Linked DNA regions of Oryctolagus cuniculus. Each later gene encodes a partner of the first gene's protein in a complex. Links are inferred from orthologs where the notes say so. Each region holds a gene or a part of one and is shown in the gene's direction. Other genes may lie near its edges. The genes, in order: COQ7 and COQ4.

The links.
Region 2: COQ7 (region 1) and COQ4 share a complex: the UniProt entries of both Homo sapiens proteins name them as parts of the multi-subunit COQ enzyme complex. The link is inferred for Oryctolagus cuniculus from reciprocal best matches to the Homo sapiens genes COQ7 and COQ4.

The regions. Positions count from the first base shown.
Region 1 is NC_091450.1:21,342,007-21,345,290, reverse strand, and holds the end of COQ7 (5-demethoxyubiquinone hydroxylase, mitochondrial), read left to right. Parts: intron 1-411; coding exon 412-551; exon of another isoform or gene 552-1,141; intron 1,142-1,643; exon of another isoform or gene 1,644-2,088; coding exon 2,089-2,157; intron 2,158-2,559; coding exon 2,560-2,637; 3' UTR 2,638-2,782; downstream 2,783-3,284. UniProt on the Homo sapiens protein: Catalyzes the hydroxylation of the 5-methoxy-2-methyl-3-(all-trans-polyprenyl)benzoquinone at the C6 position and participates in the biosynthesis of ubiquinone.
Region 2 is NC_091432.1:231,640,867-231,644,671, forward strand, and holds the end of COQ4 (ubiquinone biosynthesis protein COQ4 homolog, mitochondrial), read left to right. Parts: intron 1-1,883; coding exon 1,884-2,013; intron 2,014-2,471; coding exon 2,472-2,565; intron 2,566-2,980; coding exon 2,981-3,158; 3' UTR 3,159-3,490; downstream 3,491-3,805. UniProt on the Homo sapiens protein: Lyase that catalyzes the C1-decarboxylation of 4-hydroxy-3-methoxy-5-(all-trans-decaprenyl)benzoic acid into 2-methoxy-6-(all-trans-decaprenyl)phenol during ubiquinone biosynthesis.

The DNA.
Region 1 (3,284 bases):
TCTAAAAAAGGGAAACGAACGCATGGTGTGGCAGGTCCAAGTCACCCCCGAACGCAGCCCGTCTCTTGGCCACAGTCAGGAGGTAGGACGGGCGCTGTGCAGAGAAGAGCTCTCTCACTGTGTGGCGTTACCCTGGGGTCCTCGAGCAGTGGGGCTAAGCCTGGGGCGAGTCTGTCCCCCAGAGGACACGTGGCAGTATCCACAGATCCTCTCAGAGGTGCTGCTGACAGTGAGGGGCAGAGGTCGGGGACGCTGTAGGATGTCCTGCGGTGCCCAGCACAGCCTCCTCAGCAAAGATCCGTGCAGCCCCAGATGTCAGCGGCCCCGAGGGCGAGCAGCCCGGCCTCAGACCGGCTCCCTTTCCCGCGGTGGCCGCCCCATCCCTGACCGCTCTGGCTGTGGCTGTTTCAGGGGCCGGAACCGCCCTGCTGGGGAAGGAGGGCGCCATGGCCTGCACGGTGGCGGTGGAGGAATCCATAGCTCACCACTACAACAACCAGATCAGGACGCTGGTGGAGGAGGACCCTGCGAAATACGGGGAGCTGCTGCAGGTACTTGATGGTCCTCGGGAAGGGCGTGGGGGTCTGGGGCAGCGCCCCGGAGCACATGGAGGCACAGAGAAGGAAAGCTGTCTGCCCTGGTCACACAGCGAGCGTGGAGCCAGGACTCGAGCCACTGTCGCCTGCCCCGAGGCCTGCCTGTGTCCACCCCTGCACTCCATATCACTGGTACAATGCTGTGAGTGCGACGCCCTTACGTGAATGAATGGATAGCCACAGATGATTTTTCACAGCAAATAAGGGAACTGTTTACTTACTTATTTGAAAGAAACACGGGGACAGAGTGAGTTCCTGTCCCCTGGTTCCCTGCCAAATGCTCACAGTGACCACGGCTGGGCAGGGGCCAAAGCTGGGAGCCAGGAACTCCAGCCAGGTCTCCCGGGTGGGTGTCAGGAGCCCCGTTACTTGAGCCCTCACTGCTGCCTCCCAGGAGCTGCACTGGCAGGAAGCTGGAGGCAGGAGCAGGAGCCAAGCATGGGATTTATTTAAGATGGAATCCTGGGGCCGGCGCTGTGGCGCAGCGGGTTAACACCCTGGCCTGAAGCGCCGGCATCCCATATGGACGCCGGTTCGAGACCCAAGTGCTCCACTTCCGATCCAGCTCTCTGCTGTGGCCTGGGAAAGCAGTGGAAGATGGCCCAAGTCCTTGGGCCCCTGCACCCACATGAGAGACCAGGAAGAAGCTCCTGGCTTCTGGCTTCGGATTGGCGCAGCTCCAGCTGTTGCAGCTAATTGGGGAGTGAACCATCAGATAAAAGACCTCTCTTGTCTCTCCCTCTCTCTCTCTGCCTCTCCTTCTTTCTGTAACTCTGACTTTCAAATAAATAAATCTTTAAAAAAAAAAAAAAAAAGATGGAATCTTAACTGAGGTTCTAACTGCTGGCTAAATGCCCTGCTCTTTAGTCTTTTTTTTTTTTTTTTTTTTTTAAGATTTATTTATTTGAAGGAGTTACAGAGAGGGGAGAGAGACACAGATGAGCTTCTGTCTCCTGGTTTACTCCCCAGATAGCTGCCACGGCCAGGGCTGGACTAGGCTGAAGCCAGGAGTCAGGAGCTTCTTCTGGGTCTCCCACGTGGGTGCAGGGGCCCAAGCACTTGAGCCATCTTCTGCTGCTTTGCCCAGGCCTATTAGCAGAGAGCTGGATTGGAAGAGGAGCAGCTGGGACTTGAACCTGTGCTCATATGGATGCCATTGTCTCAGGCGGCAGCTTAACCTGCTACGCCACAGCACTGGGCCCTCTTTAGTCTTTTAACAGATCAGAGGTTGGCAAACTGGCCTGCATCGGACCACCTGTCTCTATAAATCAAGATTTAACAGCCACACCCACTTGTTTGCGTGTCTAGGCTGCCTCCCTCCCCACCACCAGGGCAGAACCGAGTGGTTGCAGTGGAGCCTGTGTGAGCAGCCCTTAGCAGGCAGCGTTTGCCTGCGGCTGTCTTGGGCTAACCTGGGGCCTCGGCCTCTCCGTGAGACCGATGAGCAGGTGAGTCGGGTGCGAGCTGCGCCGCCTGCCTTCTGTTTGACCAGGTGATACGGAAGTTCCGGGACGAAGAGCTTGAGCACCACGACCTCGGCCTTGAGCACGACGCAGAGCGGGTAGGGCCTGCCTTTCCTTGTGCTTGCAGGTTAAGGGCAAAGGTTTCTGGTCCCAGGAAAGTAAACCTTAACATGGCAGCCCGCGGGAAGAAAGGGGCCAGGTCGCTGTGACAGACAGGCAGCCCCACTGCTCCCGGGAGGGCCGTGTATCCTCTGGGCCCAGGGCACCTTTCTCCTCCGCTGTGAGACACCAGCTGATTCCAGGGTTTGGGCCGGAGCAGAGGCCTCTCTCCCTTTCCCTGGCACACAACTAGGCCCTGGCACAGCTGTATCTGCCCCCAAATTAAAGTGTTTCTCGAGTCTGTTACCCAGAGAACCCCAAGCCCTGCCCCACTAGCCCTGGGTCGTCCGAGTACAAGACAAGCACGTGATGCCTTTCTTTCATCTCTTGCTGTGCCGCAGGCCCCGGCGTACACCGTCCTGAAGAGCATCATCCAAGCCGGCTGCAGCGTGGCCATCTCTTTGTCAGAGAGACTCTGAGCTGTGTCCCCGTAGCCAGCTCGGGGAGGCGGGACAGCCATTTCGCCAGTGGCTTGGACGGAGAAGGAGCTGTACAGTCCTCATTGTTAATTCTGTTGTTTCTGTCCTGTTTTTGCATTAATAAAGAGTTCGGTGTTGCTTTTGCTCTCGCTGTGAGGCTGACAGTTCCCTGCGCTGTTCCAGTACAGCAGGTGAAGCTACTGGTTGTGTGCTCTCCCGATTTCTCCTCCAGCAGTCAAACTTGAGTTTACTGAAAATGAAAAGAAATTTAAAACTAGGAGGGGTTTAAGACTGACCAAGCACGAATAGGAAGTCCATCAGTACATGGTCACTGTATCAGATCACGTTTTGTTACTTTAACCAAAACACCCAAGAGGAGCTCATTGGGAGGGAAAGGCTTGTCCCCATCCAGTTTGCAGGCTGCAGTTCAGGGCTGGGCGGTCCCATCGTCCAGTGTCTGCGGGGAGCTCCTCACGGCAGGTGTGGAGGAACAGTGAGGCAGAACCAGAACTTCAGTGATCCACCCTTTCACAGGAGGACACACCCCCGGTGGCCTGAAGACCACCCCTGACCCACCTATCAGACGCCGTGATTAGACCAAGGCTCCACCCTAATCCACTGACCACTGACAGGAAGACAGCAGAGTG
Region 2 (3,805 bases), on another chromosome or scaffold:
TTTTTTATATATTAAATAAACTTTAAAAAATATTTATTTATTTGAAAGGCAGTTAGAGAAAGAGGAGAGATCTTCCATCTGGTGGTTCACCCCCCAGATGGCCGCACCAGCCAGCACTGGGCCAGACTGAAGCCGGGAATCAGGAGCTTCATCCAGGTCCCCCATGTGGGTGGCAGGACCCAAACACTTGGGCCATCTGCTGCTGCTTTTCCCAGGCCACCAGCAGGGCGCTGGATCAGCAGTGGAGCAGCCGGGACACCAGCCAGTGCCCACACGGGATGCTGACATCACAGTCAGCAGCTTTGCCCACTGTGCCATAGAACGGGCCCCTGTTTTTATTTGAGAGACAGAGAGACACAGAGACTAGAAGAGAGCTCTTCCATCTGCTGATGTAGCCCCTAAATGCCTGTGGTAACCAGGGACTGGGCCAGGCCAAAGCCAGGAGCCAGGAACTCTGTGCAGGTCCTCCAGGTGGATGGCAGGGCCTGACTGCCTGGGCCCCCCGCCGCCTGCCAGAGTTAGCAGGAGGCCGGGACCTGAACCCAGGCATTGCGGTTTGGGATGTGGATGTCCAAGCAGTGTCATAACTCGTGCCAGCGGCTGTCTCAGGGTTAGTTGTAATAATACATGTTGTTGAATATATCTAAAATAATACCGTTTAAGTAAGTGGTATTTTTAAATTGCTGCGGTTTCATCTTCATGCTTCAGTCTGAAGTCTCCCGTGTACTGCGTGCACACAAAACTCCCCAGTTGGCATTTGTCCCAATTCGAGGCTCAGTGGCCACATTGGGCTGACGTCTGCCATCCTGGACAGCACAGGTGTAGGAGACATGAGTCACGCACACTAAACAGCAAGGTACAGAGGCTGCCAGAGCCCCCCCCCCCGCACCTGTCAGTCAAGGTCAAGGCTGCCAGAGCCCTCCCCCCACCTGTCAGTCAAGGTCAAGGCTGCCAGAGCCCCCCCCCCCCGCACCTGTCAGTCAAGGTACAGAGGCTGCCAGAGGGCCCCCCCCCCGCACCTGTCAGTCAAGGTACAGAGGCTGCCAGAGCCCCCACACCTGTCAGTCAAGGTCAGGGACATCCCCCCGGGTGGGGGAAACCTGACCAGGGCATGCGTGAGAAGTAGGGACTGTCAGGTGAAGACGGGGTCGTGGGAGAGAGCACTCCAGACAGCAGCCTGTACTGAGGATCAGGGGCCTACAGGCCTGTTCTTAGTTGTTTTTGTTTAAGCTGTTGACTTATTTACTTGAAAGGCAGAGTAACAGAGGAGAGCTTCTACCCACCAGTTTACTCCCTAGAGGCCTACAACACCCAGGGCTGAGTCTGTCCTGGGCAGGAACCAGGGACTCCAGCCAGGTCTCCCACATGGGTGGCAGGAGCCCAAGGACTCGGGCCATCAGCCGTGGCTCCCCAGGTGGGTTAGCAGGGAGCTGGATTGGAAGCAGAGCAGCCAGGACCCAAAGCACTGCTCTGATGGGGGATGTGGGTGTCACGAGTGGTGGCTTGCCCCGCTGCAACAGGCCTGCCCAGATCGATTGCCTGAAGCTGAGTCGTGTTAGGTGCGCTCAGGCTGTGCTGCCGTGGGCCTCCAGGCTGTCGTCATTTGGCAAACACAAACTCTGTACCCATTAAACAGCTGCCCGTTCCTGGGGCCCTTTGCTAGGGCTTCCAACAGGATGCAAAGCTGATGTGTGATTTGGAGTAAGCAGAGGGGTGCCGTCTCCCCGCCTGCCCTGCCCAAGCCTCCCCTGCTGGCAGGGGTGCACAGAAGCTGCAAGCTTTCTGGGGGGAGCTGCGTTGGGTGGGAGGAGTTCGAGGGGAGGCTGGAGAGGTGGGCCCTGGGCAGAGTGGGAGGAGGTCTAGGGGAGGCTCCCGGCTGTCAGAGGGTCTCCCCAGACACCCGAGCGCCCACCCGCTTCGTGGACGACGAGGAGCTGGCGTACGTGATCCAGCGGTACCGGGAGGTGCACGACATGCTCCACACCCTGCTGGGGATGCCCACCAACATTCTGGGTGAGTGAGTGGCAGCCAGCCGGCCGCGTGGCGGGGTCGGGGGCGGGGCTCCCCAGCGCCTCCGGCTCCAGCCCCGCCCACCACCGGCTGGCTCAGTGTCTTGCTTCCTGCTCTGCCCAAACATCTCCGTGGCATCTCTACCGCTCAGCCCTCTCCTCCATCCCGTCTGCCCCTTCTGGCTTCTGCACCGATGTCACAGTGTCCACACAGAGCTCCCCGCTCTGAACCCCCTGCAGCTCCCCGGCTGGGCCTCTCAGTCCTCGCATTCTGACCTTTCCAAGTGCTAGCCTTTGACCCCCTGCCCCAGGCCGAGCCCCAGGGCCCTGCACAGGCCAGGACTGGGCACAGCTGATCCCTGGTAGAGACTGGAGAGGAGCAGACGCCTCTCCAGGCCCTACCAGCGGCACCTCTGGCCTCTCCTAGCCCTGCTCACCTCCCACCCTGTCCCTCACCCCCAGGGGAGATCGTGGTGAAGTGGTTTGAGGCTGTGCAGACCGGCTTGCCCATGTGCATCCTGGGTGCACTCTTTGGCCCGATCCGGCTCAGCGCTCCGTACGTGTTCAAGGGGGCGGGACGTGGAGACTTGGGAATGGGGAGGGCGCGGCCCCTGAGCAGCCCTGGTGGTTTTCCAGGAAGCAGTGGTGGAAAGGACGAGGCAGGGATGAGGGCGGCCTGGTGTCTCCAGGGCAGTGGACGGAGCCTGGAGCCCAGGCTGGGTCAGAATGACTGGTGTCAGGGGAAAGCAAGTTCGGGTTCCGGAGTTGTGTAGCCCTCAGTTGAAGTCTGGGCCTCGGCACGTCTGGGAGGTGTGGCTTTGGGCATAAGATCGACCTCGCCGAGTTTCTGTTCCCGCACCTGAGAGGTGGGCATCGATGGCTGCCTCCTCTCGGGCAGGAAGCGCACTGAGCGGTGGGGTGCCCAGAGCTGCCGGCCTCGGGCCTCATGCTGTCTCCTCTGCTGTCCGCAGGCGCCTGCGCGTGCTGGTCTCGGAGCTGATCCCCTGGGCGGTGCAGAACGGGCGCAGGGCCCCGTGTGTCCTCAACCTGTACTACGAGCGGCGCTGGGAGCAGCCCCTGAGCGCTCTGCGGGCGGAGCTGGGCATCACGGCCCCCCCCAGGGACGTCCAGCGCCTGGCCCAGGCCTGAGCTGCTGAGCAGCAGGGTCTGGCCTGCCCCCCCCCCCACCTCTGTTCCTTCGTGGTGAACGCTGACCCTTGGACATCATTCATCTTAGTTGTCATTATCTCCACTGAGTGGCCTTGAGGGCCAGTCCAGGAGGAAGCGGGCAGCACAGTGGGGCTCCCGGGGGGCTGGGAGTGAGTGAGGAACAGACGTGTCTCAGGCCTGCTCCTGCCCCTCCCCGCCAGCCCTGCTGTCCTGCGTGTCCTGGCTGTACCCAGTTCCAGAGGCCTGGGAAGACAGAGGTGGGGGTGGGGGCGAGTCTGCCGTCCCAATAAAGGCTCCCCCCACAGTGCAAACGTCTGCCGGCCCTGCCTCCACCTAGTGCTGGCCGCAGCCCCCCAGCGCTGCAGGTGGAAACCCTGTCCCAACCTGAGCTTCCCCTGCTCGTCCCCGCTCCTGTGGTCTGAGGTCCGGCTGAGTGGGGTTCACATTCCCAGCTGCTCCTCCGGGTTCTAGCGGAAGAGAAAGCAAGTTCTTTGTGCTTTCTGAACGCCCGCTCCTTCACCATGAAAGGGGTCACAAACAGCACCCCCGGAGCTGCCCTGGGCCTTCCTGGGAGGCACAGAGAAGCACTCGAGGAGCCAGGGCTGTTTGCCAGTTAGTTGTTGGTT